Notamacropus eugenii: one gene and its partners. The protein of the gene in region 1 interacts with the protein of each later gene in a pairwise test. Links are inferred from orthologs where the notes say so. Each region holds a gene or a part of one and is shown on either strand. Other genes may lie near its edges. The genes, in order: NUTM1, P4HA3 and ZMYND10.

What was found.
Region 2: the proteins of NUTM1 (region 1) and P4HA3 interact in binary tests that used the Homo sapiens proteins (3 or more experiments, as listed by UniProt). The two-hybrid records come from large-scale screens. The link is inferred for Notamacropus eugenii from reciprocal best matches to the Homo sapiens genes NUTM1 and P4HA3.
Region 3: the proteins of NUTM1 (region 1) and ZMYND10 interact in binary tests that used the Homo sapiens proteins (3 or more experiments, as listed by UniProt). The two-hybrid records come from large-scale screens. The link is inferred for Notamacropus eugenii from reciprocal best matches to the Homo sapiens genes NUTM1 and ZMYND10.

What each region holds. Positions count from the first base shown.
Region 1 is NC_092878.1:17,206,986-17,217,342, forward strand, and holds the start of NUTM1 (NUT family member 1), read right to left. Parts: upstream 4,269-10,357; 5' UTR 4,157-4,268; intron 3,937-4,156; exon of another isoform or gene 3,567-3,936; intron 1,557-3,566; 5' UTR 1,534-1,556; coding exon 839-1,533; intron 1-838. Other genes in the region: NOP10 (H/ACA ribonucleoprotein complex subunit 3), read left to right, coding at 4,694-4,747, 6,085-6,225. UniProt on the Homo sapiens protein: Plays a role in the regulation of proliferation. Regulates TERT expression by modulating SP1 binding to TERT promoter binding sites.
Region 2 is NC_092876.1:130,972,399-130,983,032, reverse strand, and holds the start of P4HA3 (prolyl 4-hydroxylase subunit alpha-3), read right to left. Parts: upstream 5,078-10,634; 5' UTR 4,750-5,077; coding exon 4,517-4,749; intron 1-4,516. UniProt on the Homo sapiens protein: Catalyzes the post-translational formation of 4-hydroxyproline in -Xaa-Pro-Gly- sequences in collagens and other proteins.
Region 3 is NC_092872.1:4,968,061-4,979,354, forward strand, and holds the start of ZMYND10 (zinc finger MYND domain-containing protein 10), read left to right. Parts: upstream 1-5,959; 5' UTR 5,960-6,116; coding exon 6,117-6,208; intron 6,209-6,420; coding exon 6,421-6,532; intron 6,533-11,294. Other genes in the region: GATOR1 complex protein NPRL2, read left to right, coding at 32-123, 1,417-1,585, 2,055-2,163, 3,079-3,215, 3,326-3,423, 3,617-3,653, 4,130-4,223, 4,669-4,786 and 2 more. UniProt on the Homo sapiens protein: Plays a role in axonemal structure organization and motility. Involved in axonemal pre-assembly of inner and outer dynein arms (IDA and ODA, respectively) for proper axoneme building for cilia motility.

The DNA of each region.
Region 1 (10,357 bases):
TATCAAGCACATTTTTTTGGAAGGGACAGGAACCTTCTAGATGCTTCTGGTCTGTTCAACCCACTTTTTTGTCAGCAAAATGAAGAAGACTCAGCAGCCCAAGTCTGTTGGTACTCCTACATCTATGCCTTTGCAGAGGGCATTTCTCATGCCTGGAACGCATACCCTCCTTAACTTTCTCTCTTAAAATCCTTAGCTCCCTTTCCAAATGAAGTCTTTCCTGATTTCTTCTAGCTGCTAGTACCCACCAACATTACTTTCGATAAATTTTGCAGCTGGATAGAGAAATAGTTATTGCTCTGGCCTGGAATCAGGAAGACCTGAATTCAAATCCTGCCTCAGATATGTGACCCTGGACAAGTCACTTAGCCTCTATTTGCCTCAGTTTTTTCAAGTGGGAAATAGGGATGATAACAGCACCTACCTCACAGGCTTGTTGTGAGGATAAAATATATATATAGATGTATATCTATATATCTCCTAGAATGTATGCCACCCTCTTGCGACCTTTTTTCCCTTTCAAGGCTGCCCTTGATGGTTATTTAAACTTGATCACACAGTATAAATAGAAGCTAAAGGCACAAAGTGTTTTTTGTTTACAGACCCTCATCCCCTTAGGAATATCCCTGTCCTGCTGACCCATTTTAACTGCTCTGCCTACAAATGAATGTGAAGGAACTATCTTTTTTCTGGGAAGTTGCACTGTGGCCCCTGACCTACCATCGGATATTTCCAAACAACTTTAGTCTATAATCCATCAGGCTTCTCCTGACTCTTCCTTCCAAGAATAAAAAGTCTGAAGGAGTCTACAAGCGTAACTCCAAAAGCAAGCACTCACATGAGGAAGCAGGAAAGCGCTTCTGCATCAGGGCTCCGGGGCAGGTGTCTCCGGGCCAGTGCCTTGTAGCGTTGCCAGCGACGAAAGTTCTCATAAACACCCTTGGAGGTGCAGGAAAGGTCACCCAGAGAGGGTTTGGGACAAGGTGGAGGTGGACCTCCCTCCCCAGGAGTCCCATCTGGCCCCCGCCAAGCCTTTTCTGGGGGTATAATTGGAGCTAGTTGGGCGGTGGGTGGTGGGGCCAGGGGAGGATGGGTAGGGGGTCCCTCTCCTTCACCAGCCTGGGCCACCCCAACAGCCTTAGCAAGAAGAATGGTCTTGACATTGGTGGCTGCCAGGAACCGGGGAGTGGGGCCTTCAGGGCCCCCACGGGGAGGACCTGGGGCAATCCAATTGAGGGCAGTCTGAGTGAGGATAAAGGTCTGAGTTCGGGGGGCTTCAGATGGGCCCCCCTCTGTCTTGACTTTGACGATGACCTTACCAGCCCCACCCCCGCTAGGGCCTGCTCCCCCATCCCCTGTCACCAGCAATGTACTAGGGAAAGCAGACAGAACCAGGGGGCTACCCGGTGGGAATGGTGAAGAAATGGGAGTTTGAGGTGGTGGCTCCCAGAGAGGCTTGTCTGATGGTCCTGGAGGGGGTGGGGGTAATGGAAGTGAAGTACAGGGTGGGACAGGGCCAGGCTTCGGGGTCATTTCAGGTCCAGACAATGAAGGAGCTGTTGAGAAAAAGGAGGGATTGGAGCAGGAAATGAGGCAGCTAGAGGCCTCAACATCTGGGGACCCTTTGGACCCTGATACATTGCAGAGCTGGTCCCCTAATTCATAGGGTAAACATCTTTACCAGTCCAATAAAAAAAAATGTCTACAATATCACTGACAACTTCTTTAAGGATATTCTTAGAAGTCTACCTCCACTGTGTGGTGTCCCAAGACATAGAACAGGGTTGACATGCAGGAGATAACAACTCAAAGTATGTCCCCAACTAGGAGGTTGAGCATCTGATGGGAGAATCTAGAATCTGGCCCTTCCCTAGGCTCCTTTGGTGTTCCTAAATTAGAGATCAATTGAGAGAGGTTCCTGGCCCTGTTTCTTCATTCCTCCCCTTTTTCATCTCCTTGCTCCTTTTTTTAAGTCCCCTATTCCTCTTCTCATCTAAAAGTACAATAAAAAAAGTTCTATAGCCATAACCAATTTATCCCTAAAACTCTCATTCCAATTAACAACTCATTCATTTCTGCTTATAGAAGTAAAATCAGAGACATTCCCCCTACTCCCAGCCATCTCTAGCCACTTAATAATCTTCCTTCTAGAATCTTCTTAAGGTAAGGAGGGGAAGCCCATACAGATTCCTAGAGATTCTCCACTCCAGAGGAGTAAAAACTAGTCAAAAGGAGGTAGTAGTAGACTAGGTGGATAAAAATGACAGGTTTTCTTACGCTTCAGAGAGCTAGCAGATAGACCCCGTGAAGTGTGGCAGTTGCTCCTAACACTGATTCTGATTCTCTCTATCGTTTACCTAGGTTATTCCTTCAGTAATGGAAAGGACAAGGGCTTTCAAATTAACAAGTAATTATTGAGCACTTCCGAGGCACAAGGCACTGGGAATACAAGAAAATATAACACCACATATAATACATAAGATGCCTTCTAAGGAGATGCCTCCATTTAATAATAACAAGAATTTAACAATCCACCTTATCCCACAAACGACGTGAAACTCACACACAGTTTACCTCCCTGACCATAAAATAAGATCATGGAGTCATGGATGATGGTAGACAAGCTCATCACTCTGATGACAAGCAGGGAAGGGTCAGGACATGCTAGCCATAACAGAAAGAGGGAGGGAACAAGATGAAATGGGTTAGAGGGCCTAGGATCCTAGGATAGATGAAACAACTCAGAGTAAATCAGTACTGCCTATGTTCCAGCTGTGGTTGAATAACTATGTATTAACCACCTCCCCAATACTCCCCAACCTTCAGCCCCTGATAAATGCAAGAAACAAGTTCCAGAAGTTCCCTGGGCAAACAAAAACAGAGGTTTCTAGGTGTCAAGGAAACTGAGGTATTCAACCCTAGGGCAGTTATTGTATTCTATATTAATCTATGGGGAAAGGGGGGAGGGGGTATTGTTTTGAGGTTCTCCCCAAGCCTCCTAGTCTCTTGGTAGGTTCAGGGCATGCCTCTGCAAAAGAGGACCACTCTGGCCAAATTTCTGTCAAAAGTCTTTTCCATCCAATTCCCTCTGTCCTCTCTGATTGAATATATCCCTGCTGAAATATCAATTTCTAAAGCAAAAACTTGGGAAAACAGGGTCTCTGCCAGAAAGAAGGACGTAAGTGTTAGACCTAATTCTACTAAGTCCTTTTGTCCTTCTTTAAGGTGGCTAATGCCTAGTGACTGGAGGCTTCTTGCCTATTTAAGTCAATCTGCTAGTGGGTCTTCTCTCTCAACTCAGAGCTCCCTGGCTCAGTTCCTCCAAGGCATCCCAAATCAGCTCTGAAGAGGCTGGCTCTGTGAACCCCAAGGCTCCAAACTGGTTCCCCAACCTCCCCGGGTCTGTTGCCTGAGCATGGGATGGATTCATTGGTCTGTCTTCCTCTTGGGTCCCACAGTGCAGGTCACAAAGGTGATCCCCAGGGCTACAGTCCCAAATTTCTTTCCCTGGGGCTCGAGGGGATAGGGGGCACGGATCTTTGTGAGAGGCCCCCAGCTCCGCTCACCTCCATCTGGGACTGGACCCTCTGGCTTGGGCACTAATCGGGGCTGCCTAGCAGCCTCCAGGATGGCACAAGGGTCAGGGCCAGGGCCCAGAAGGCCACCTGGTCACAGTAGCTGCCCAAGAATTGAGGGCAGCAGAAGGGAAAAGATTGAATCAAAACAGAACTGGAACCTGGAAACCCGTGCATTCTACGCAGTGGGGGAAGGGAGGGAAGAGTGAGGGCCAGGCCAGGGGGCCGAGGAATGTTCTAGGGAAGAGGGGGAGGAGAGCTCGGCGGGGAGGATCTGAATTCAGAACCCAACTCAGGCGACGACCCTGAATGGGCAAGCCACTCAACGTGGCCGGCCCCAGTTCCACGTCTGGGCCACGAGGCTGGGCGGGTCCTCGCCAGCTCTCCACGTGCGTGGTGGGGGCGGAGGGGCACCTTCCAGCCTCGTCCCCCCCGCGGCTCCCAGGTGAGTGGGCGGTGCAGGTCCCCATCTCCCACCTCCGAGCGCAGCGCCCCTCCCCGTGCACCTGGCCGGGCCGCCTCTGCACCCCCGGAGGGTGCGGCGCAGGCCTGGGCGCCCCGGCCCTCGTGCCTCTACTTACCCCCTGGGCGAAGGGGAGCCAGGGCCTGAGCTGGCCTGCGCCTCCATGTTCTCAGCCGCACAAGATGGAGGGCAGGGCCTGGCCGCGGCCTGGGCACCCTCGGCGCCTGGATTTCCTCGCCCCTCTAAGGCTCTGGGCGCTACTTTTCTTCCATGGGACTACTTATTGCAGTTTGCATGCAGGGGAGGGATATTCAAGTTCTGGGTTCAAAAACAGCGGCCTCTCCATCCCTGAATGGGCTGTGGCTAATGGCCTCCCCTGGCATTCGAAGCCCACTCCCTTCCCAACTTCCAGCATAGGGATGCGCTCCCTAGTGCAATCCCAGGGCGAGGACTCCCCCTTCAGGAGGGCAGGAGGAGAAGAGGAGGGGACTACACCTCCCAGCATGCCGCGGGGGCTCTACTTCCCGGAAGTGTCCCTGGAACAAACACGTGGTCGGGGGGTGGGTCCGCGCTCCCGGGCCAAGGCGGAGGTGGAAGCCTGCTTGTGGCCGAGTCTTCCCGTGGCCTGCCCGCCTCGCGAAGGGAATTGGCCGCCATGTTTCTGCAGTATTACCTCAACGAGCAAGGGGATCGGGTCTACACCCTAAAGGTACGGAGAGGAGGCGCACTTGGGGGGTGGAGACGCAGGAGGGAGCTCCGTTCCCGCCCTGCGCGGCCGAGCTGGGCAGCGGCCTGTGTAGACGCTCTTACCGGCGGCTCCGTCGGGCCTCGTTATTGTTTTAACGAAGAAGGAGCCGAGGCCGAGGGAGGGGAGCGGCCGGCCCGGGTCACTGCCTTGTACCGAGAGGGTCGTGTAGGGAGAAGAGGAGGAGGACGGAGGCCGAGGCGGGCAGCCTTCGTTGTGCCCGGACCCTGTGCTTGGCGCCGGCATAGAGTGTAAAAAGAAGAGCCCCCCCCCTCCAGCGGGGACCCCCCGTGGTGATTCCGGGGGGCGCTGCCGGGGGACTCGGGGCTGTTGGGTGGGGTTTGCGCTTGGAAGGAGCTCGCTCCCCACGCCCAGCCCTAAATCCCGCGGAATTCAGCGTGTATCCCAGACCTTGTCGTCTGAGTATCTCACCTCACAGTCAGCAGACTTCATGAAGACCTACTATGCACAAGGCTGTGGGAAACAGAAGGAAGGAAAAGGTTGTCCCTGCATACCCTCGGCACCCACAGCCTAGGGACCTAATCGTCCTTAGCCCAGGTCTGGTCTGTTGGTCAGGGTAATGCTGGGGCTGGGGCGAGGGGATGGATGAGGAGAAATAAACAGCTTCGTCCTCCCTGCCTGTCCGAGTCTTTTCGACCTTTTCTCTGGTTCTGCTCCAAAATAATCAGTAAACCTACTGTGCTAAACACTGGGGATAGAGTAAGCTGTACCCTCAAAGAGCTTACGATGTGGTGAGGGAGACAACGTAGACAAATATATGTGTGTGTGTGTATATTTATAATGTGTGTATATATATATATATGGCAAGCTATGTACAGGATAAATAGGAGATAACAAGGAGGAAGGCACTGCAAGTAAGAGGGGCTGAGGAAGATTTTCTGTAGAAAGTAGAATTTCAGTTGGGACTTCAGTAGGTAGTGTTCCACCCATGGGGCATACCAGAGAAAATTCCTGGAGCCAAGAGATAAGAGTGCCAAGTTTGTCAAATAGCCTGGAGGTCAGTATCACTGGATCAAAGAATATGTGGTGGGGGGAGTAAGGTATAAGAAGACTGGAATGATAGGTAGTGGCTAGGTTATAAAGAGTTTTGAATGCCAAAAATGCGTTTTGTATTTGATACTGGAGGCAATAGGGCTACACTGAAGTTTGAGTAGGTGGGTGATGTGATCAAACCTGTACTTTAGGAAAATCACTTCATAGCTGTAATAGGGGCCTGTACTAGACTGGTGGCAGTGTTGGATGTGAGAATTCACATTCGGTTCTCTTTGTTCTCCTAACAGAAAACAGACCCTGCAGGACAACAGACCTGTTCAGCGCACCCAGCCAGATTCTCCCCAGATGACAAGTACTCCAGACACCGTATCACCATCAAGAAGAGATTCAAGGTTCTCATGACCCAGCAAGCACGATTGGTCCTCTGAATTACCAAACCACCCAGGACTCTGGCACAAGAAGCTTGTCCTACATCTAGGAGACCTCATTCAGGAAGAGCTTACATCTTTGACTCTCTTAACCCATTGTCACAAGTTTAAAATGACGCCCTTTGTACACTTGCTTCTTAGAATCTAGCTGCAGTTTGCCTGTGTTCCTCTCTGTACTTGGTAGCAATCAAGCTAAAATGAAAGTCTAAAGTTGCCATATCTTTTTAATCAATGTTGTAGGCTATTAAAACTGAAATGGTTTAGAGATCTATTTTTCCTTTTTAATTGGGGGCAGAAAAGTCTTTGAATTGATCAGAGGAAGCCAGGTGGCTTAGTGGATAGAGTACTAGGTCTGGAGTCAGGATGATCTGAATATATTTGTAAAAAGGTATTTAACACAGCACCTGGCATGAAGTAGCTATAGAAATGCTTATTCCCTTTTCTGATCAAAAAATAATATCCATTTTTATTATTGTTTTAGAATACTAGCATGTTTGCATTGGAATTCAAAAGTCCTCATTTTCTTCAGTAAAAATTAATCAAATTGGACTAGATGGTCTAGTTTCTTTTATCTCTAAATTCTTAAGTCCTGTGGATAGTCTTGAATTCCTTCCCCTCTATAGTGACACTGATATTCAACATAGCACACACAGCAGTGCCCATGAGAGATGTCTTCTGAATGGACTGAGTGACCAAAGAGGTTATCTTTGTCCTAAGGAAAACCTTTTGTACACCTTAAGGCACCAGGCATGTGTGGGCTATTATTCTCTGGAGTCTCACAGTTTCTCCTAATTTCTGAACAGATTAATTTTAACCAAAGAATCCTCTGAAGCTCAGATCAATTTAAGAGAATAGCCACACATTGTGACAAATGTTTTCAGGTTGAGGGTTGAACAAGTAGAAAGATTAAAAAATTAAGTTTTAATATTCTGATCAATCCATGTCTGACGGTAAACAACAAAGATTTACCTTAGGGCTTTGTGGTAGAACCCCAAAATTCTTGACTTTATTTCCCTCTCTCCCTTTGCATGTAGGGAAACCCACAAGTGCAAATGTCTTTTGGGAGGTGTTAACCTAAAGAAAACTTAAGCACAGGGAGTACAAGGAAACCTCCAGGAGCAGTAGAGTCATACTTTGAAAAACCTAATTCTTTGTCTGTTTTTCTGATGGGGTATGGTCTAAAGTCTTTTTTATTAAACCAGGAGATCTTCCTCTCACTGTTTGTAGACCTCAAGACAACCCACTGTCACAGTCAAAGCATTAGATGGTTCTTTTGAGGAAGACGATGAGGTTAACAAGTTGACCTAGTCTTGCAGACTGTGTCTTCGCATTTACGTCTTATAGACAAAAGGATAACCTTGTTGCTTTTCTGCACTTAGTGAAGAATATTTGAGTCACTCCCCAACAGAAAATATGAAGACACAAGTTTTTTGACTATCCTTATTTATCCAAATTCTTGAATTGAATGGTTTTGCCTCCTGCCAACCCTTTGTTAATCTCCCAGTTCCTCAAAAAGTACCCAACCTTGAAAGTGTATGTAGGTGAGAGTGATGACTAATACTTACTGAACAATAGGAGGTTACTAGGTAGCTCAGTGGATAGAGTCCTGTGCCTAGAATCAGGAAGATTTGAATTCAAATACAGCTTCAGACACTTCCTAGCTGTGTAACCCCTGGGCAAGTCACTTAATCTGTCTTAATCCGCTAGATAAAGACATGTCAAACCACTCCAGTATCTTTGCCAAGAAAACTCCATGGGTAGTATAGGAATGCTATATGGGGTCACAAGGGGTTGAATGTGACTGAAACACTGAACAACAACTAAAACATGATTGATGTTTGAATTAGATCTCTGAAGTGAGAACTAGGAAGGGAAGAAATAATTCAGGTAAGAGTGCTGATGAGATAGATTCCTATAGGGAGCAATGGGCGGCTAATAAGTGAAGAAACAAGTGTTGATAGTACTAGTGGGCATGAGGGAGGAGGTACTTAGAACTCATTGGTAACCTTCAAATATTAAGATGATGGATATGCCAGCACAATAAAATTAGGCTGAATGTACTGAGGTGATGTTTATCAGGTCTCCAATGGTATCTGGTCACATACCATCTGAAAGACCCAAACTGCTCAGGAAATCAGTAAGCACATATTAGGCTCCTTGTATATGCTAGGCACTGTGCTAAGCATTAGGGATAAAAAGGAGGAGGGGGTAAAGGCAATATGATGGGAAGCATGCTCAAAAGCCAGTATAACCTGACTGACACTGGCTATGTGATCTGGAGCAAGTTACTTAATGTGTCTCAACCCTAGTTTACTCAATTGTAGGATGAAAAAGTTGGACTCCATGATCTCTAAAGTCCCTTCCAGCTCTTAAAAACCTACGTTATTAAGTCCTGAGGAATTAGGCTTTATCCTTTCTACCAAGTGGTAGAAGTAGTTCCTATCCTGGAGAACAACTTTTCCAAAAGAAGAAAACCCTAGACACTGGGCTGCAGAGACAAAAATGAGAAATATTTCGTACCCTTAAGGAGCTGGAATCCATGCATGTAGTTGCAGGTGTTAGAATAATCTTTCAGTTTCCTTTCAACTTTAAGTTAAAGAGATACAGCTTGCGTGTTTGTGTTGGTCCAAAATGAATCTGCCACTGATGAGAAAATTGCTTTGTGAAGAAAAAGTATAAGAGGATTGTTCCAATTTTATATAAATACATAATTTTATGTAGTTTTATAAATCATAATATTTTATATATTAATTAGTAAATTATATAAACATATATTTTTTTCCCTGAATCAAAAATTCAGACCTCAAACCTGTTTTAAACTGACTGTCTCATAAATTCTATTGCAAAAGGATAGAAAATCCCCTCTTGGATCTCACTTCCTGACCAGCTCTGCCAAGAAGCTTTAGGAACAGGCAAACTACCCTTCAGTCTTTGAAGATGAGAAGGCAAGTTGCTGAAGTGGATCAGAATAGGTAGTGACATTAGGGATGATGACTTGAGTTGGGGACTTTTATAATTTAACCTGCAAGCAGTGAGTTCTCAGTTTTCTAGTTGGAGACTTTGCTGTGATCAACATGCTTGACTTTATTTTCCTCATACAAAAAAAACCCAGGAATAATGCTATCCTATATTTTTTCGTGGGGACTTTTGTATAGATACTCAAGGCTTTTCCCCAAAGTATTCACTTATATAGAGTAGCAGTATACTTTTAGATTATGACATCTGCAGAGTTGGGAGGAGGCAACTACGTTCAGCTACGTTTTTTCAAAAAGGAAAAAAACCCTAATGGAAATGAATTTGTATATATGTGTACACATAAATATACACTATATGTATGGCTCTCTCCCTAGACTATCTCCCCAACTTGCAATCACAGTTTGGTTTCTCTGGAAATAACCACCTATTCAAAGTACTCCATGAGTCTGCTCCTTTTGAAACTACAACTCAAAACTCAAAAAAAAAAAAAAGTGTGCTTACTTGTAGTCAATCAGAGGAAATGAAATGACACAATAAGGACAGTAGCAATTTATCTCATAAACCTAGAGCATTCAATTTCATAAATCTTAAACAGGAAGAGTAGATGTCCATAGAGTTCTAAAATGGAGAGGCACATATATAAAGGAACACGTGGCATGTGCAAGGACAGGGAATTCATGACTAATTCTGCAGGTAACAAGTCTAATAGTATTCATCTACATTTGGATACCAATCAGTTTATAATCTATTGACACAGCCTTCAAGAACCCTATGTGCTACGTATACGTATACCCTATATACAGAGTAGATATGTACATATCTATTTGGTCTAGACCTGTGATTTCTTCTACTTAGGTAACTGCTGGTGTAAAAAGATGTCTCCACTGGTGCAGGATCAGCAACAGGCACATGGCATTGTTCAGTCTCACCTGATCCTCAGTGACCCCATTTGGGGTTTTCTTGCCAAAGATGCTGGAGTGGTTTGCCATTTCCTTCTCCAGTTCATTTTACAGGTGAAGAAACTGAGGCAAACAGGGTGAAGTGATTTACTATTTGAATTCACAAAGATGAGTTCTTGACTCTAGCATTCCATCCACTTCACCACGTAGCTACAATTAAATTGAATAGAGTATGAGATTTTGGGGAGCAGTATCAT
Region 2 (10,634 bases), on another chromosome or scaffold:
GACCACAGTTAGAAAGGCCTTCAAAGGGCAACTAATCCTACCAGAAATGATCTAATTTCATTAAATGATATTCTAGGATGATTCGTAAAATCTCAAGAGTTGGAAGGCGCCTCAGAGGCCATACAGTCCAATCCATGCCTAAGCAAGAATCCTCTCTACAGTATCTTCAACAAGCGGTCATCCACCTTCCCTTTGAAGCCCTTTAATGATGGGGAGCTCACTACCTTTCCCACTCTGCTTTTGTACAATTCTCATTGTTAGAGAGAATGTTAGGTTTCTGTGTATGTATATATATATATATATTTATATTTATATGGATTATATATAATATTATGTATATACAATATTCTATATAAATAAGATTATAGAATACATACATATATATTGAACCCAAATCTGCTTCCCCATAACTACTAGTCAGTGCTCTTAACTCTGTCCTCTGAAGCCATATTTAGTTTTAATTTATTAAATTCAGCCCAATCTTTTAGCCTGCCAACATCTTTTTGGATCCAGTCTCTGATACCCAAGTATAAAACATCACATTTGGCTGAACACAAATTTGTTAAGTACGAGATAGAGAGGTATGGCTAGACAGCAAGTCAAGTGTTGGGGGGGTTTTAGTGTACTGAAAGCTCCATATGAGTCAAAAGGAAAATATGGCAGTCCAAAACCCTGACACAGTCTTAGATGGCATTGAGATACCCAGCATAGAGGAGCAGGGACAGCATACAGGACAATCCTGCTGGGTCCTTCAGCTAGAGTCTTGTGTTCAGGCTGAGAGTTCCTTTCTAGGAAGGATACTGCAAACTGGAGCATGTGCAGAGGTTAACCAGTATGGATGAGGGTCCTCAAGACCATGTCATCTGGGGACTGAATGAAACAACTGAGGATGTTTAGCCTAGAAAAAAGATTTAGGGTGTGACATCTACAGGAAAGAGGGAATAGGCTCATTGTTTGACTCCAGAACCAGAGCCACGAATAATGAGTTCAAGTTGCTAAGAGACAGATACCAGTTAGATTTAAGGAAAATCTTCCCAATGACTGGAGCTATACAAAAGTGGGGTGGGCTGCCTCAGGAAGTAGTGACAACTGGAGACCCACTTCTAAAGTACACTGGTGATTCTTTTTCATGTTTGGGGTGGACTAGAACTGGCCTCTGAGGTTCCTTCCCTTTCAGCCGGTATATGATTCTGTGAGTGGGTGATGAGCTGGTGAAAGCAGCAAGTGTGGACCTCTTATAAGCACTGTCTGTTTGCTTAGCAGTGTCTGGCATGATAGTCAGCACTTAACAAATGTTTGTTGACTAACAGACTCAAGAATAGATATGGCAGGTCCTGCTATCAAGGAGTTTACAATCTAGGGGATTTAGAAGCAAATATGTACTTTCTGTGTATTTTGTGCTACTACTTACTAAACTCTTATTTGTACTGTAGTTATGTATGTCCATGGATGTGCTGGTAAATGTTTAATAATTAGCTCCTGGGGAGAGAGGAAAACAGAAACTTATAAGTTTAACAGTAGAATATAATATTAACATTTTTCCCCACCCCTGGTCTAGACTCTGCTGAGTCCTGATTTGCCAATTTCCAAAGTAAAACCGGGTGGTGTAATGGATAGAGAACTGGGCTTAGAATCAGGAAGCTTCATCTTCATAAGTTCAAATCCAGCTGTGTAACTCTGGGCAAGCCATTTAGCCCTGTTTGCCCCAGTTCTTTACCTGTAAAACGAGCTAGAGAAGGAAATGGCCAGCCACTCCAGTGTCTTTGCCAAGAAAACCCTAAATGGGATCATAGAGCTGAATACAACTGAAAGGACTGAACAACAAACTGCAAATGCTCACGCTGAAAATTTAACAATGGTGCTCTCAAAAGCTAGTATGAACTGGCTCCAGTCTGTTCCTACTGGGTGCCCATATCTGAGCTACCTACTTGTATCATAAGAAAAGAGATTCAGAGTTGAGAGTCACCCTGGGGATCATCTATTCCAACTCCCTCTTTTTACAGATGAAGAAGCGAAGGCCACAATGGTTAAATGGTTTGCCCAACGTCAGACAAGTCAAAAGGGGCTGGGTCAGAGTCTGAACCCAGGTCTTCTGATTCCAGATCCAGTACTCTTTCCCAGACATCACACTGATCCTTAAAGGCAGGAACTATGTCATTCCTCTCCCTGTCTCTGTCTCTCTGTGTCTGTGTCTCTGTCTCTGTCTTTGTCTGTCTGTGTGTGTGTCTCTCTCTCCAACAGCACCCAACAGAGTGCCTTACAAAAGGCAGGTGCTTAATAAAAGTTTGTATAAGTTGATGCTGGTGGCAATGGGACCTTGTAGCTGGGCAACAGCAGAAGTGGGCCAGGCTGTGTGTGGAACAAGCAGGTCAGGCTATACTTGGGATAAAAATAGCCTATTTATGCAGGAGCTTTGATTCTCCATAGAATCACAGGATGTCAGAATAGGGGTGGGGTAGGGGAGGGAACTTAGCATGTTGATTATTAGAGTTGGGCTCAATTAATCAATCAATAAACACTTATTAAGAGCCTACTATGTGCCAGGAATTATTCTAAGTGCAAGTGATACAAAAAGAGGCAAAAGACACTCCCTTCCCTCCAGGTGCTCACAATCTAATTGGATGAACCTTAAAATGCAGGATGTCCAAACTAGACAGAAGATAAACTCACACGTATGTAGTGCTTTAAGGTTTGCAGATTGCTTAACGTACATTATCTCATTTAACCATAGAATTTCAAGATGGGAGGGACCTAAGACACCATTTATTCCCACCTCTTCCTTTTACAGATAGGGAAACTGAGACCCAGGGAGGCAGTAATTTACTTGCCCAAGGTCACACAATGGTAGAGGTGGGACTAGTTTAGTATTAGTACACGTTTAGTATTAGTCTTATGGGATCAGGCTTAGTATTCCTTTCCACTGCTCTAACTTTGGGAATTAAAGTATGTTTTCTGACTCTTTCTGTACTTGGATCCACAAAATACTGGAAAAATATTCTACTTTGAAGAAATTGATAAAAGTAAAGCCTGTGGGAATATGGAAGAAAAAAATTTTTTTAATTTCCCCCACCATTACATCATCATCAAAACTACCATTATCATTTATTTTTAAGGCACATACTCATGCATATTTTATACATGTAGATAAACTATGTCTCACACATACACATTAGCTAACTGACCAAAAAAATGCATCATTCTTCTTGTGTGCAGTCATATTTGGTTGGATACCAATGTTCAGCTGTTCACCAAATCACAAACAGAATCTCACTCTTCCTCCCATGTGTCTCACAGTCTCAGTCTGTGTCTGTCTGTGCCTGTCTCTCTCAGCCATGGTGTAAAACACAATCATTCCAAGTCACAGAGCTTAGTAGTCATTGGGGACTGGTGTCAAGGTCACAGCCCTGCCCCTACAGCATCACACTGTGTCATTTAAGATTTTTCTGGCCCCACTCAGTCTGCATAACCCACAGTGCTATACATTCACACAGGGCAACATCGACTCATTCAGTGTGATCCATACAATGTCACATACTCAGTATCACTGGCATGCAGAGTAAATATTAACACGCCATCCTTCACACATACATACACCATGCCCAGCACACAGGGATGACACAAACATAATTAATACATGGTCTTAATTCAGGCTTTGGTTTAGACTTGTGATTTCATCAGTGTAGGGATCTCCCAGTAAGGAAATTCACTATACCAATGCAGATCAGATCTGTAACTGCTTTGTGTCTTAATTTTAGAAAATTTCCTGGGGCACTAATGGGTTAAGTGATTCACCCAGGGTCACCCAGGCAAATCCCTGAGGGATTTGAAGTCAGGTCTTTCTGACTGTCTTGTTCTCTATCTACCACGCCACACTGCCTCTCCTTTATACAGAGCTGGCTAAGAGTCTCAGTCCTGCAGGAGCTCACAGCCCATCATCTGGGTTTCTCTCCTTCATCTATTTGTTCTCTTTCATACAGTGTGAAACCATAGTGTCTCAGGGTCCTGTGTCTCACACAGGAGCCCAGTCCACTTTACTGAGACAATGTTACACATGCTACCTCGCAGCACCAGGCTTTCTACAATATCACATGCTGTATCTCAGGAGTGACACAGAGTTCCTTGGCACATCCTGGGTCTCAAAATACACACCCCTAGCTCAAGAATAGTAACAGTTGGTTTTTCTATAGTGTTTTAAGGGTGGCAAAATGCTGTACACAGTCTCATTTGATACACTCAGTCGGTATCACACACTGGGAGTGTCCTAAGCAGCCACAGGGGCTGTGAGTTAGTGTCCAAAGTGTTCCCTCTCACACAAATACACAGTGTCACACACGGAGTGTCCTAAGTAGCCACAGGATCGGTGGGTCAGGATCCCGTGCGCTTTCACACACAGGCGCACACACACACACACACACGCACACGCGCGCGCACACACATGCACACTCACACGCACACACACTCTCACACACACACTCACACTCACACACACACACTCACCCCAGCCGGCAGCTCCTACCTGCGCAGGTCCCGCAGACGGGCCTCCTCACCCCGCACGTAGCCTTCCAGCAGCCGCAGCAGCTCCCGCTCGGGACCCAGAGCCCGCTCCACACTCTGCAGCGCCGAGAACTTGTCCTCCCCGCGGCCCCGGGGCGGGCCGCCCCCCGCCTCCGTGGCCCGAACCCCAGCCCCCAGCTCCAGGGCGGGCAGCACCGGTAGCACCAGCAGCACCAGCGCCGCCGGGGGGCCCATGCCGCCAGGGGCTGCACTGCCCTCCCAGCGCTCTCTTTCCTCCCTCTGCTCCCCTGCACTCTCCGGGCTCCCTCCTCACATCTCTCCTCCTCTGCTCCTTGCCTCTTTCTTTCCCCTCTCCTCTCCTCCCCTTTCTCTGCTCCACTCCCTCCTTCCCTCTTCTACAGCCTCTCTACATCCCCTGCCTCTCCTTTCACACTTTCCCTTGTTCTTTCCTCTGCTTTTTCACCTCCACCACTTCATACATTCATCCTCCCCATCTCGCGGTCTGCTTTCTCCCTTTCTCTGCTCTCTTTCTTCCTTTCTTCCTTAGTTCCCTTCCCCCTTCCCTTCCTCTTACCATATAGCTCTGCCCCTTCCCCGCCAGCCCCCCTTCCCCTTCTGCCTGTTTCCTCCCCCACTTCTTATATATACATTTATCTTCCTGTTTTCCCTCTCGTCCTCTCCCCTACACCACTCTTCCCTCAGCTCTTTCCCCCTTATCGTTCTTCAACTCTTTCTCTTGTCTTTCTTCTCTTTACCCCACACCCTTCTTTTCTCTTGAGTTCCCATCACTTTGGTTTTACCCTCCCACCTGGCTATATCCCCTTCCCCCTTTTCCCATTAGGCTTTCTTCCTTTCCCATTGCTCCTTAAACCTCAACTCTGAAATTGCAGAGTGCAGAGGGAGCCTTGGCTGGGAGACAGGAGATCCGAATTCTGATCCCAGCTCTGCAGCCAGCTCTTTGTCCAGCCCTGCACAAATCCTTTCCTCCACCCCGGCTTCATTTTCCTCCTGGGTAAAATAAGGGGGTTGGAATAAACGATCTCTTCAGGTTCCTTCCAGGCCTGACATCGAGGCCCCTTACAGTTCTGAACATCCTAAATCCTCTTTAAGGAGTCATTCCAGCCTTTTCTCTCTCTAATGCCAGATGATAGGCAATGTGGTGCAAGGCACTAGATTTGGAGTCAGAAAGAGACCTGGGCTCTAATCCCAGTTCTAACATTGACTAGCTGCGGGCCCATGAGCCAGTCACACAATCTGGAGCTTCTCTGTCCTTACCTATAAAATGGGGACAAGTTATACTTGGAGTACCTGCCTTCTGAAAAAGGTTATAAAGAAAGTAAACTCTGTAAATCTTGAAATTATATCTAAATGAGAGTAGAAAAGAATATTAGGTTTAGAGCCAAAGTTAAACTTGGAGTCAAACTACCTTTGAAACTTTGGGCATTCTGAGCCCCAGTTTCCTCATCTTTGGCATAGGAGGATTGGATTACATAACCTCTAAGGTCCCTTCCAGCTTCAAGTCTGCATGGGTCTGTATGACAGCAAGATCCCCTCCAGTCCTGACAGTGATCCTGTATATTGTCTGGTAGTAAGCTTCTCCCTTAGAGAGGACTGGCATCTACAGGAAAAAAAAGTCCTAGGTACAGGACGAAAAGAACTTTCTTGGTGGTGTTCTCGGCCTGTCCTAGTAACTAACCTATTTAGTGTTTTTCAGTCTTCACTGGAGAGGACAGTGAAGGACCATGGAATGTCAGAGCTAGAAAGACCCTTAGAGATCATCAAATCCAAACCCTTCATTTTTACAGAGGTGGAAACTGAGGCAGATGTGAAGGAATCTTCTTAAAGTCACACAGAAGAATCAGAAGCATAGTCAGGGCTAGGACTTCTGGCCTAAGGCACTTGCCATTCTCTGGCTTCTTTCCTAAGTACTTCCTCAGAGGAAAGCTTCTAGTTAGAAAATACCTTCTTTGCTAGAGTCAGGATTTTGCCCGACTTTTTTTTTCTTTTCCTCTTTCTTCTCCAGTGAGAACTCAAGAGCCACGCTAAAGTAACTTCATCTTATCTACCTTATACTCCTGTTTGTCAGGGAAGGTCATAGGAACCTTGAGATTTAACTGGAGGAAGCAACTAATCCAGCCTTGTTATTTTACAGATGAGAAAAATGCCTGGAGAGAAGTAACTTGCTCAATGTTGAACAAGTGGTAGGACCTGGATGCCAACCCAGGTCTTCTGATTCCACATCCAGAACTCTTTTGACAGTTCCATGTTGCCATTTCTAAACAAAAAGACCAGCAGGGGGAAAAGTGATTCAGTCATCTCTAACTTTCCGACCCCGCCTAGGATTTTCTTGGCAAAGATAATGGAGTGCTTTGCCACTTTCTTCTCCAGTTCATTTTGCAGATGAGGAAACTGAGGCAAACAGGGTTAAGTGACTTGCCCAGTGTCACAGGCCAGATTTGAACTCACAAAAAGGAGTCTTCCTGACTCCAGGCCTAGCACTCTCTCCACTGTGCCATCTTACTGCCCAGAAGATAGCACTCCTAGCCCTTATTTTGGAGAAAAATAAACCAAATTTGCAGGGAATAGGTGGGGAAGAAAGTTCTTGGAGAGGGTAGTGTTTAGGTTGACAAGACTCTGGTTCTATGTTTCTAATGCCAAGAGTGCCCCCTGGTGGAGATTTGGAATGTATGGCCTTCTTGACAATTTTCTCTTATTTCCTCAGTTTCCCATGGTGACACTTTTCTAGTATTGTATCAGAACTGCCCTACCATGTTTCACTGAAGATTGCACCATTTGTCTTTTGTTTAACAGTGAAGACTGATACCTGGAACCTATTTCTAGGTGAGGCAATTTAATTTTCTATTTACTGAGCCTGTGCCTTGTGGTTAATATTGTGCTGAGTAGGGGAAAAGACAAGACATAAAAGTCTTTTGTCTGCCATTAAGCACTTCCACTTCTGCTGTGGAGACATGAAGCTGGTCTCCTAAAAAGTACTAAGAGGCAGGGAGTATAGTGGAAAGAGCACTGAATTTGGAATAAGCCCTGGGTTCCCATCCCAGCTGATACTAGCTATTTATTTGACTTTGGGCAAGTTACTTTGCCTGAGCCTCAATTTATTCATTTATAAAATGGGAACAATACTTTTACTATACCTCACTAGCTCTCTTTAAGACTCAGCTCAGGAACTACCTCTTTAAACAAGGGGTCTTTCCTAGTAATCTCCCCAAATCTCTCTCTCTCTCTCTCTCTCTCACACACACACACACACACACACACACACACACACACACACACACACACACACACACCTTACTTAGATGAGGATGTGGTAAATCCTACTAGTAGAATGGAAGCCCCCTGAAGGCAATAATTTTTTTCACTTTCACTTTTTTCTTTGTATCCCCAGATCTTAGCACGGTGTTTAGCACATAGTAGGAACTTAAAAAATATTTAGATCAAATAAAGATAAAATTTAGATAAAATAAAGATCAAATTAAATGATGTAAGACCTCCCCCCACCTCAGTTCCATAGCACTTTATGGTTTATGATGTGAAGTTATTATTCATTGTTATCATTCCTAGATCGGAAACCTGGGCATCTGGGTTTTGCCACTAACACTGTGTAGTTCCTAATTTTTACAGAAACTCAGACCTACAGAGGAAAAGGGACCTGTGCATAGTCTCAGGGTATACTTGCCCACAAACTCAGAGGACACCAAAAGATACCATGTAATAAAGTGCTTCATTTATTCAAAAAACCTTTGTTGAGAAACATTGCGTAGAGAGCCCTGACCTTGGCCTGGGGTGGGGGGGAGTGGGGAGAATAAGATGAACAGATGTAGTTCCTGCCCTAAGTTCTTAAATTCTATCAAGAAAGATGATAATATTTCCAAAGAACTTGGTTAATTTTTAAATTTGAACTTCCTTTTGGTTTTTGTACTTGACAAATATAAAACTTTAGTATTTCCATATATTTATAAAAAAGAAAAAAGGGTTGTATATGAAGCCACAATTCTCTATTACATGTAGCTTCATTTTTAAAAGAACACATGTAGTAAATTTATGTTAGTTTCAGAGTTGTCCTCCCTGTCTTCTGAACTTCCCTCTGGAACTTTGTAAATCTTCTAGCATGATCCTGAGAGGCAGGTAGTATAAATATTTCCCATTTGGACAGATGAGGAATGTAGGCTTAGAAAAGACAAATGCCTCAATTTTAATTTAACTCAATAGCTACACAGTGTCTACTATGTGCAAAGCCCTGTGATAGGCAGGAAAGAGACAAAGATGAAAAACCAACTCTGCCTTCATCTTCCTCCAGTGCTGAGTACAAGAAAGTTCTGCACACATGCTGAATGAATCTCTTTCAACCTTAAAAAACAAAAGAGGAAAACTGAGGCCCAGGGATAGGGACCAATTTACCCTCATTTGGGGAGGTCTCTTTAAAATGATTGAAATCCTTCCCTTTCATTTGTTTTCAGTGACCGTAACATTGTATACAGTACTCATATATTTGTCAGTGGATGATAGATGAAATTGAAAGGAACCAGAGAAGTCGTAACACTTGGAGTCTTTGACAGGCCTGCTACCTGACCTTTCACAAATTATTTTCCCTCTCTGGGTCTGTTTCTTCCACTTAAAAAATGGAGAGGCGAGGAGTGGGGGGTGGGGGGGAGAGACAGAGACATAGAGACAAAGACACAGAGGCAGAGACACAGAGAGCAGAGACAGAGATAGACTGAGACAGAGAAAGAAAGAGCGACAGACAGAGAGAGAGATACTAAAGTTGCTAATGCTTTGTCTCCTAAAAGATGCTTTCTACCTCTGATCTTGAGCCTGAGACATTGATAGGTGGTTGTGTCCACCAGGTGGCAGCAGGAATCTAGGAAGTCTGATCAATTGCAGTAATTAAGTTTACCTTTTACTGCCCCTTCTCTACTTCCCAATTTGCAAAATTTCACTCCAGCTAAAATGATCTACATACACAGTGGTTCCCACCCTCAGCATTACTTTAGACTCCTTTGTGTTTTCAATGCAAAAATCCCCCTAATCAGCTTGTGCTTGACCACTGTAAAATACCCTCCCCAACCCAGCTCATTCCATTACTGGGAGCAAATTTCCATTTCAATTAAACCTAAATTTGCTTTCCCCTTCCCCCACTTAGCCCTAGGTCCCAGAAATATAATAGGCATATGTCTTAAGAGCACTCCAGGTCATAGGGACCCGCACCCCACCCCCAACCAAAGTTAGCAAAGGCAAAATGGCTAGATGGATTCCCTTCAGGCCCCTGAATGGAGCATGGGATCCAGAGCAGTAGTTGGCTACTGGAAGGGAACCCCTCTGGAAGAACCTTTCTGCAGTGGTATGGAGGTGACCCTGGGCTCTCCAAAGGTATGCCAATGGAGCATAAACAATGGCAGGCACTATCAATCTGGAAAGTCTTTGAGTGGATTGTGGTCTCAAAAATAGCCCCGGCAGTGTTATTTTATCATCAGAAAGGGTAATGTCTTTTTTTCAGTAAAAGCAGCTCATGAAAACCAGCAGAGGAACAGACTGAAATGTAACAGGGAAATATTTAACAAAATAGAAAAATACAATAGAACATAATATCACATTTGAAAACTAAGTCCATATGCTACCCACTGGGATCCTTATATACACATTAGTGGCCCCATTTTTACGTGAATTTGACACTAGAGCTTTTTATCAGTGAAGGGAGTTATACTGACAAATTCATGAATCCTTTAAGTATTGAAGGTCTGAATAGTGGGGAAAAAAACTAGAATAGGCTTTGACAGTCATTATGTTCTTATGTTATTATGTTCTTCGGAACATGATGTAGTCTATATTTTAGGGAATGGGAACAGTGCCCGTGTCATTTCTTTGACCTTCTTTGGGCAAGCATAGGGTTGGGGAGGGGGAGGAAGAAAGTAAATCATTGGGTCGGAATGGCCAGGACATCCCAAAACCTATCACGCCACCATCAGCAGCTTTTTGATCAGCTGAGATTACTTGGTTTAGAGAAAGGAATGTGGTCCAGCATGCCCAAATCAGCAGGGAAGTCCTGGTCTAGAAAACAGCATTATGTTTGAGCCACAGAAGGAAGATGGATGTTCCAAGTC
Region 3 (11,294 bases), on another chromosome or scaffold:
CCCCACGAGCCACCAGGGGCTGCCCCTCCAGGTCCCCGAAGACTTCATCTCCCGGGAGCTGTTTGACACCGTGCAGGTGTACGTCATCACCAAGCCGGAGCTGCAGAACAAGCTGATCACTGTGTAAGCCCCGGGATGGGCCGGGGTCCGCCAGGGAGACTTGGAGGGGTCTGCCCCCCGCCTTCCACCCCCCTCGGGACAAGCCCGGGACTAGACAGCCTGCCATCACCTTCTCTCCACTACGCCCACCCCCCTCCTCACCACCGGACTCGCCACCTCCAGCCTCTTTCCTCCCCGTAGCGAGTTTATATTTATAAACCACAGATCTGATCGCATCCCTCTCCAGGGCTTCCCTCCAGGCATCTAAAGTTAAATAGAAATGTATATGTACGTCTGTGGCATTTACGGTCCTTCACGAGCTTCCTTCAGCCAGTATTTTCATATCCAGTTCACATCACTGGCCCTCATGCACTCTCTTCTAGCCAAAAAACTAGCTTGTTCGGCTTCTATCTAAAGGTGATGCTCCATCTCCTGTCTGTGTCTGCTCTACCCTGGGCTCCCTTCATAATTCAGTTGAAGGCCATGTCCTACAAGAGGCCTTTCACCATTTCCCCTGTTGCTTGTGCTGGCCAAATGCCTTGGTGTTTATTTTTCATTCATGTGGCACTTACTTATACATACACATTTCCCCTAGTAGAATATAAGCTCTTTGGAGGCATGACTGTTGGAGTTTTTTAACAGTGTCTTTATATCCACAGTGTCTGACACATAGTAGGTGTTTGATGTTTATTGAATAGAAAAATGCTTTTTGGAAGAAAAATTTGGGACAGAGATCACTTTTAACAGACTGGGGAGGAATCAAGGATGGTTTCACAGAAGAAGTATCACCTGATCTGGACCTTGAGTGGAACGTTGAGAGTGTGTACATTCCTTGACACAGGCAAAATCAGACTAGGAAACAGCCCAGCTTGTCTGGAGCAGAAAATATATAAAGGGAAATGATGTGAAATGAAGCGGAAGCATGGGTTGCACCCAGATTCTTGAATGCCAAGCAAAAGGAAGTTATATTTTATCCTTTCGGGAAGAGGATTTTGAGGAAAAGAGTGGTTTGATCAAAGCTAAGCTCTCGAGTAGTCACTCTGGCAGACTGCAGGATTGGTTAGATGGGGAGACTTAAAGTCCGAGAGACAGTTAGAAATACCATAATCACCTTGGCAGAAACTAAGCAGGGTCCGGACCAAGGTATTGCCAGGAGAGGCAAATGAGAAATATCACAGGGGCCCTGAACCACAAACCTAGTGAGGTCTTCTGAGGCCCAGCTCCTCTCCTATTCTGTAAGAGGTTTTCCAGAAGGGAGAGGGGTGACCTGAGAGAGGCACCTCCCACCCCTCTGTGCTGACTCTGCTTCCTGCTTAGGACAGCCATGGAGAAGAAGCTGATTGGCTGCCCCGTGTGCATTGAGCACAAGAAGTACAGTCGAAATGCACTGCTCTTCAATCTGGGCTTCGTGTGTGATGCCCGAGCCAAAACCTGCGCCCTGGAGCCCATAGTTAAGAAGTTGGCTGGCTACCTCACCACACTGGAGGTCAGGACCTGCCCCACCTAGCCCCTGGTATGCCCAGCTCCTTGGGGGCCCAAGCCCCAGTGCACTGAACCATGGTCCTGGTTCTCCTAGGGTAACTCAGCTTGGGTGGTAGAGAGAGGCACAAAGTCCTACTCCATACTCATTGAGTTGAAAGAGACTCAAAGACCACTGTTTCCTAGACACAAAACTGATGCCCAGGCAGGGAAAAGACTTAGGCTCCTGTGAACATGAATTTAAAGCTAGAAGGGAACAGAGATCATTTAGTGCAACCCTCTTTCCCCAAGCTCCAAGACATTCAGTGATTTGCCCAAAGCCAAACAACTAAAATGTGTCAGAGGCAGATTGGAGTTTTTTAAACCATACCAATCATGAGTGAAATGGGGCACCAAGGAATCTGCCTTCCCTGCTTGCTGTTTACCTTGATGGGCCTCATGGCAGCTCCCCTTTTCCATCACATTTTCCCTTGTAGCTGGAGAGCAGTTTTGTGTCCACAGAGGAGAGCAAACAGAAGCTAGTGCCCATCATGACCATCCTCCTGGAGGAGCTCAATGCCACAGGCAGATGCACCCTGCCCATAGGTAAGACCCCTGCATCCAGTCCAGCCTCCAGAGAAGGGCTGCTTGCACACTCTTGCCCAAATAAAAACAGAATTCAAAACTGTCCACACAGAGTCCCAAAAGATATGTGAAAAGATTTCGGCAGATCCATGAACTTTAATGAGAAGTAAAAGACATTTACCATTTCCTCCGATTATTTAAAAACGTGACTCTGAGAAGGGGTCTGTAGGCTTCCCCAGACTGCCACGGGGAACTCCACCTTATAGGCACAAAGCTTTGTGAAGGGAGAAGAGGGTGTGCCTCACCGTGAGGAGTATGACACCCAAAGGACAGGTCCTAAGTTAGGTCACAGACTGAAGTAAGTAGAGAAAGCCAGAAAAGAAAGGAGCTCCAAAATCTGGGGCCCAGACAGTGAACTTGGTGAGGATGGGCTGAGGGAAGGGCCCCCAGAGGCCTTGGTTCTGATGCTAGTTCTGCAGAGAACTCCATGTTTGCTCTCTACCAAGTGATTGTACCTTTGGAGTCATCAGCTTCCCTGTGCAGTGGGGTTTTTCATCCCTAGCTTTTCTACCGTGTCTGGGGAGAGAATGGGGGAAGATTCTCCCAGGATCCTAGACATTAGAGGTCATCCAGCCTTCTTCTGACCCCATCCCCATTATTTTGTAGAGGAAGAAGCAGGCAAAACCCAAATCTTATCGAGCCCTGGTTTCACCACCTAAGAAACAGGACTGGACTTTTCTGTGGCCACACAGCAAGTTAGTGATAGAGTATCAGTATGAACCTAGATCTCTGCCTCCTGGGCCATCATTCTTTCTACTGCACCATACTTTGGCATACAGAAGTGCTTTGAAAAGTATAAGCCTTTAGCAATCATGTGTGTGCAGCCTCGTATCCTTCTGGAAGGCTTCCTGGAATTCCTGTCATCTTCCTCTACAGATGAATCTAATACCATCCACCTGAAGGTCATTGAGCAGCGGCCTGATCCCCCCATAGCCCAGGAGTATGACGTACCTGTTTTTACCAAGGACAAGGATGAGTTCTTCAACTCCCAGTGGGATCTCACCACGCAGCAAGTATGGCCACCTGCTCAGGGTGCCTCTGGTCAGCCAAGCTTCTCTCTCAATCCTTCTGGGCAGTGGGGTACACAAATTGAACTCAGTGATGACATGACCACCTTCTCTAGATCCTGCCCTATATCGATGGCTTTCGACACATCCAGAAAATTTCTGCTGAGGCTGATGTGGAGCTCAATCTTGTGAGGATTGCCATTCAGAACCTGTTGTGAGTGAGCCAAGGACCAAGAGATGGATGGGGGAAAGAAAGGCACTAAGACCTGGGCACTACCAGTATCTGCCCTCCCCACCTCTCCCATTTACTAGATCTTCCCCCCTCTGTTGAGACCCCACAGATGTTATCACCCAGTTGAGAATACCTTAGCTAGGGGGTGGTGCTCATTGAGGTGTGTCTCCTGCAGGTACTATGGGGTGGTGACCCTGGTATCCATCCTCCAGGTAAGAAGGGGAACAGAGGGAGGAACGTTGTGTTTGGGAATGGAAGAGGATTTCCACTTCAGAGCATGACCTGAAATCAAGATGATAGTGCCCACTAAAAGCATAAGAAGAATGGGAAATGGAATTCCCAGTGGGAGTGGGGAATGGCCTGTGTGCATGGCTAGAGCAGACACAGAACTGGTTGTATGGCTGGAGAAACTGAGGCCCAGAAGGGAAAGGCCTTGTTTGAAGGGACACAGCCAGTATTCGGCAAAACTGAGGATTAGAACTCAGCTTTCCTAGTTTGGGTTTTTTTTTCAATGATGCAAATTTATTGGCTCCTTAAGACCATCCAATCTAACGTATTAATTTTTACTAATGGACAGTGGGGCCCAAAAAGCATGAGATTTGTCTAAGGTCACATAGCCATTCAGTAGCTGACTCATAGTTGGGAGCCAGTGGGTACCTTAGGCCTCACTCCATCTTTCCCTCTCCAGTATTCCAATGTGTACTGCCCCACACCCAAGGTTCAGGACCTGGTGGATGATAAGGCACTACAAGAGGAATGTCTGGCCTACGTCACCAAGCAAGGTATGGGAAGATGGGGAAGGATGAGGGCAAAGACACAGCTTCCAGGGCAACTGATTCCCTTACAGCAGCGTCTCTGGACAAACCTAAAGAAGCCACAGCCGGTAACAGTCCAGAAATTCCTAAAGCATTTTGACGTTCAAAAATCACTTAGCTCACAAACTTCTCTATAAGCAGTAGTATTCCCATTTTATGGATAAGGAAAGTGAGGCACAGAGTTTCAAGTGACTTGCCTGTGGTCATACAACTAAGAAGTGTTGGCACCAGTATTCAAATCCTGGTCTCTCCAAATTCTACTATGCAAAGGTGCCTTTACCAGAATGATAGAGAAGAAATGCTAATTCCATGCCCTCCCAACTGCCCCTCAAACTGCCCTGAGGCCCAGAATGATAGTGAGGAGCCCCAGGTACAGGGGCCACCAGCTTGCTATCTCCATCTCCATTCACAGGTCACAAGCGAGCCAGCCTCCGAGATGTCTTCCAGCTCTACTGTGGCCTCAGCCCAGGCACCACTGTCCGGGACCTCATCGGCCGCTATACCCAACAGCTACAGCACGTGGATGAAAGGTCAGTGAGGGTGCTGCCCTGACCTCAGAGCTGGGAGTGGGGACCAGAGATAGTAGTGGGTTCCCCCACCCCAAGGCTCCAAGCCTAGGGGCCTCTATTGGCCAGAGGAACACATGGGAGAGGGGTGCCTCACTTGTTTAGGGAAGGCCCCTTTCACAACAGCCCTGGCAGGAAGGCATTTGACCATCAGGGCATGAAAACTTGGAGCAGAGCTGGTGGTATTTATCCAGCATTGGTCCTGGCTGATAGCCAGCGCAGGCTTTATAACAGTGGAAGAAACTGAGGCTCTGAAGAGGGGACTGCCCAGCACACCTTCCACTCCACCCTGGGGCCTCACCTGCAGGGCTGCTGATTTCCAAATCTAACTCTTTCACACCTTTCCTGCTCTGGGCCTCAGTTTCCCCCACGTTCAGCCCTCTCAGAGGTCACCTGCCTCGGAGTCAGTGGTGCTGACCCTTAGTAGTTTCCTGGGGAGGTGACCCTGGCCCCCGGCCCTCCCACCCCCCACCAGGAAGCTGATCCAGTTCGGGCTGATGAAAAACCTGATGCGGCGCCTACAGAAATACCCGGTGCGCATCACTGCGGAGGAGCGCAGCCACCCGGCCCGCCTCTACACGGGGTGCCACAGCTACGACGAGATCTGCTGCAAGACGGGTGGGAGGAGGGGCCCGGGAGGCTGCAGAGGGAGGCCCTGGGGTGGGAGGGGGGACCCGGGGGACTGCAGGGGGGACCCGGGCTGGGAGGGGGGGCCCGGGAGGCTGAAGAGGGAGGCCCTGGGGTGGGAGGGGGGACCCGGGGGACTGCAGGGGGGGGCCCGGGAGGCTGCAGAGGGAGGCCCTGGGGTGGGAGGGGGGACCCGGGGGACTGCAGGGGGGGCCGGGGGGCTTCAGGGGGGGCCCGGAGGACTGAAGGGGGGGCCGGGGCAGCTGCAGGGGGGGCTCTGCCAGTGAGCCGCTGCCCCCCACACATCCTCCTAGGAATGAGCTACCGCGAGCTGGACGAGCGCCTGGACAACGACCCCAACATCATCGTCTGCTGGAAGTGAGGCCCCCTGCACCTGCGGGGCCACGGGAGCCCCCCGCCTGCACCTGCGGGGCTGGGGGGCGGCCGGGGCCAGGGCAATAAAGAGTCTTGTCAGCCCTCCTGCTCCGTCTCCTGCCTTTCCCCGCGCCGTCCACCAGAGGGCGCCGGCGCCCTGACGCTGGAGCGTCGCCTTCGTTTCCTTGGCGACGGCGACGCCAGGGTTTCTAACGGCCTTCCTAGTACCGAGCGCCCGCGAGCGAGCGCTGCCCGCAGGACGTCTGAATGCGGATCCCGCCCCAGGCCGAGGATGGGGGACTTGAAAGTGCTGCTGCCTGGAGAGGCCGAGGCCCTGGTGCAGGCCCTGCAGAGCTTCCCGCTGTGGGAGATGGGCTCCCAGGGGTGAGGGCGGGGGCGCCCCGGGAGGGGCGGGGGCAGAGGGGGCTCTGATCCCCACTGGAGAAGATGTGCGGGGCTTGTGACCCCGCGCTCCCGGCGCAGTCAGGGTGGAGGGTCCTGGGGCAGGGAGGGCTGGGCTGGGCTGGGGGAGGAGACACCAAGGCCAGCCTGCCCACAAGCCCCCCCACTGGGGCTCCACACTGCCGCCCGGCCAGGTGGTGTCGGCAGCATGAACAGGTGGAGAAGCTGAATATGCAGGCCATACTGGATGCCACCTCCTCCAGCCAGGGAGAGCCCATCCAGGAGCTGCTGGTCACCTACAGCAAGGTACGATAGCCCACGGGGTGCTGGAGGTGCTGAGAGGGCCGCAGACCCAACCCCCACCCTGACCACAGGACAAGGTCTTTGAGTAACTCACTTCCCTTCCCGAAGGCAGGCGTCTGCTTCCTTCCCTGTTGGAGGGCTCAGGGCAAAGTAGACGGGCTGGCCTCCCTAGGAGGGTGGCAACCTGTGTGACAGAGCCCCTAAGCCAGACTCTCTGTGTCTGACACCTAAATTCCACCAGTGGCCCTTTGATCCATGGAGGTAAATGTTAATGTGAGAGGGGTGTTCTTAGCCCCTTCAGATCAGGTGTGGGTGTGTGCCTGCAGCATACATATATATATAGACATAGATAAGACATCTAACACATACATCATGTATCCGATGACCCAAAGGGGAGCTCAGGCCCCTAGCCCACTGCCTCTGAAAGTGCTTCTCTTTCCTCTGTTCACTCCCCCCACCTCAAAGGGGACTCTTTCCCCTTTCCATCAACAAAATGAATTAGTAAGAATTACTTTAGTTCTACCTGCTGCGCCCAGCTCCATGTTTCCTACTGAAGGGAAATTCATTAGTCTGAGATTCCTTTTGATCTAAACCCTATGAGCCAATAAACTCTCATCCAGATCTCTATGAAACTGTGGACTAAAAGGGCTAGGTTCTAGCTCTGTCCTGAAACAAGGAAGGGAATAAGCATTTATTAAGCACCTACTTGTGTGCCAGGCACTGTACTAAGAAATGGCTAACACCTAGTCTCTGACCTCAAGGAGTTGACAGTCCTATGTCAGAGGGGGAATAGAAGAGAAATAACAAAAATGTTTAATGACAAGAGAAGATTTCAGTAAGCATCTGAGATAACAGGGTTGTACGGTTGTATGCGTGAGTGTACGATGAGACACACTTAAGTGTTTGTAAGGATTCTGACAAGGGAGAAAAAACTTGGAATCAAGAGACCTGGGTACAAATACCTGCTCCCAGCTACAGCTGGCTGTGGGACAACAGACTTCCCATTCCTTATCTATAAACTTACTTTCCTGGGCTGTTAGAAGGTAAGTGCTTTCTAAAACTTAAAGTGTGAAGGAAATGGGCAGAATGAGGTAAGCTAGTCAGGGAGATCAGGCTCCAATTTTAAAGAATAACAAGGTGGATTAGGGATTGGCCTCCTGGCCCCATGTGGCCTTCCAGGTCCTTGGGTGGAGCCTTTTCATGAAGTCCCAGTTTTACACAACAAATCCTTTTATGAAGGGAATTTGTTCTGTGAAGTTTGGATTTGGTCAAAGGGCCACCCTTGAGGTCCTAAAGGGCCACATGGGGCCTTGAGGCTGAAGGTTCCCCACACCTGGATTAGATCCTTGAAAAACTAAACCTCACTGAAGAAACTATGGGTTTCCTTCTTAATCATCAAGCATTTGTTAAGCACCTGCTGTGTGACCAAAACAGCCCTTGCCCTTAATGAGCTTGAATTCTACTGGAGTGAAACAACCTGTACAAAGAAATGGGCCCTGAAGGACAAAGTTCCTCTGTTGTGTGCACAGGCTCCCAGATGAGATAGGGACTATATGGCCAAGGGATCAGTGTGGTTGGAACAGAGAGGATGTGACAGGGAGTCATTTCTAATCAATCCAGAAAGCTAAGCAGCAGCATTTTATCTCTTCTGTCTGTCCTTGCTCTGCACAGCTAGGTTTCCCACAGAGTTGTACATTTGTCTACTCTACTCCCCCAAGGTTGACTCTGCCCTTGGAAAAGCTTACCAGGTGCTACCAAGAGAAACTCCCGTCTGAAAATAAAAGCACTTAACAAAATGTTCAACCACACTAACATTCAGAGATGCAAATTGGTTTAACTTGGAGGAACCACCTCACATCCATCAAACTCCCAAAAATAAAAACAACTAAACTCGATACTGGTGGGCTTCTGGGGAGAAAGGTATGCCCATTTGTCACTGGTGGAAATGCAAACTTAGAGCATCTCTTTGGAGGGCAACCTAGTCATACCCATTGACCCATCCGTATCATGAAGAAACCCAGAAAGTGTTATCAAAAACAACAGCGCTCTTTGTAATTGCAAAAAATGGGGGGGGGGAGGGCGGGGGCGCAGCAATCTGAATGTTAAATGACTAAATAAATTGTGGTACATGAATGTACTAGAATACTATAGTTCAAAAGACCAAGGAACATAAAGAACTGGAAAGGACCTTTATGAAATTCTGTAAAGCCCAAAAAAAAGCAGAACCAAGAATGAGCCAAAACAAATCCTGGTGGAGATGGAGGAAATGGCTGAAAAACCATGACATTTCATAGACTGAAATTAATTCAAATAATCATTACCAAGCAAATATACTTAAATTGATATCCAACATTAAATTTATAAATTAGAGGAGCGGCTATGTAAATTGCAGGACATTAATATAATGGCATACTCTAATGCAGTTAACAACGGCAATTATGAGGAATACCAGGAAATCTGGAAAGTTGAAAAATTCTGAACCAGAAGAATGGAATGATGACTAAGTCTGATTTGAAGATAGATGGACAAAGGGCTATCCTGGAGCTTGGGAATGACTGGAAAGTTGTCAGAGCACTAAAAAAATCAATCCCTAATGGATTAGGAATCCCGAGTCATCAGAGGTTACCCTGGATCACGTTTTGTCTGAGCCCTTGATTTGCACACTTCTCTCTCCAATTTTCCCTTGTGACTAACTCCTAGAATTAAGACCCCCGAACCCTAAATGCGCTCCAGTTCTGTCTTCTGGAGTGAGGAGCTGGGATGGAAAAGGGAAAATGAGAGAATGATGTGGAAGAAAACCACTAGCTACATTTTGGGATGCAAGCCTGCTGGAGACAAATTGTATTATTGTAATCTTAAGCATTTTTTTAAAGAAACTCCAAAGGGACAGAAACCTGTCCTGCCTTGGAAAATCTCCCCCCACCCGTTTTGAGTTAAAATTTATAGTTCTCCTAAACAAAGACAAAATTCCCCAATAAAAGCTAACTCATGGTCACAGCATTCAGGTAACACGACGACAGTGTTAGCCAATTTTCCTAGGACTGTTTAATCCCTCTCCAACTCTGGCTCCCAGGATTCTTTCTGCCCAGTCAGAGGTGAGCCCAAGAAATACTTCTGTCAAAGCCTTCTTCCTTTTCTAAGTTTAATCACTCTCCGAATCCAGTGGGGGATCCTGCCCTAGTTCTTTCCAGGTTTAGTTTTACACATATGTTAGGCCTTTGAAAAATAGATTTTAAAGGATTTCAAACTAATATTGATTAGACTTTCTTCTTAGGTGGGACCAAGGACTTCAGACTAAAGTGTCCTTAGCACAGAACCTGGGATGTAGTAGACACAGTAAATGCTTGTAACTTGTCATCTTGGGGCATTTTATAATACAGAGTGTCCCAAAGGTCTTAGTGCAGTAACTAGCTTAAAACCGCACTCAAATAAACTAGCAGTTTATTTTAATAACTAACATAACTAAAACTTCGATTTAGCGATTTCAGCACAGTTTTAAGCTAGTAAAACTGCACTAAGACTTTTGGGACAGGCTGTATATAGTCTAAAGAAGAAATGGGAAGAGGAGGAGGAGCTTTGTTGTGTTCGAAGTATAGGAAGTTCCTAGAGTCAACATCCTTGGCTACAGTGGCCACAAATGTAAAAATGGAACTAGGATGTTGATGAGCAGACCCCCAGCCAGGAAAAGGCCTGAAGTCAGCGTTTCAGCTGTCTAGAGAATGTTTAGACTGAGCCTTGGTTTCCTCCACTTTAAAATGGAGAAAATATAATACCTGTCTCCCAGAGTTCTGGTGAAGGCCAAGTGAGATGGCGTGTGTCAGCATACTTTTCAAACCTTAAGATGCAGTACTTTGCTCTTTCAGTTAATATTTCCATAAGGATAGTGTGAACAAGAGCTTGCTGCTTATGGAAGGTGAGAGGAGTCAACTCTTGAAGGCTGAGGGGGTCAGGACAAGGACCTGGATTCAGGAAGAAGGTGAAGAGATAATTAGCGCTGAGGAGCTCAGGGAGCTGGGCAGGACCTTAGAAAATGAGAGAAGGCTGACCTGCTGGAGGTCACTCTGGGCCTAGAGAGCAGAGCCGGGTTCGAAAACATAAGCTTCCAACTCCAATCCACCCGTCAGGGGTCTTTCCACCACGCGGCCTCATAGGATGCAAGAAATCGCTAGGCCTGTGGGGCACTGGGCCTATTCCTCATCAGCCCACAAAATCGAAATAATCATCTCTGCACTACTTACCCCAAGGGTATCTGTGAGCAAGATGTCTTATAAACCTGAAAGTATGATGGTAATTTAAGTTGTTACCTTGTGAGTTCAGTTTGGGATACAAGGCCCATCCTCTTCCGTTTCCCACCCCCACCCCCAAATAAAATAACTTAGGGTTTAGTATTTTATTCATCAAAGCCTTGAGATATATTGAGTAAGATGGTGAGAGAGATAAGAGAGGTGAGCTCCAGTCCTCAGATAACCTTCCTGCTGTAGGCCCCTAAAACTTTAGAAAACAAACAAAGCAATTCTTGAAGAACTCTTCCCAGCCCAGGGTCCCAGATCTGTTGGGATGGAACCCTATTCCTCATCACACTGAACCCTTATTTGTGGGTGCCCATTCCAGTGAGGGAGAAGATATTCAAGGAGTGGAAGGATGAGTTCCTGATTGCCTTCCTTCCTAGTCAAATGAATTCTATTTTTAAGTAGTCCCTTATCAACATTTACTCCTGAGATCTGCCATGTATCTACATAGAATTCTTGTGTTTGAAGTTGTATTC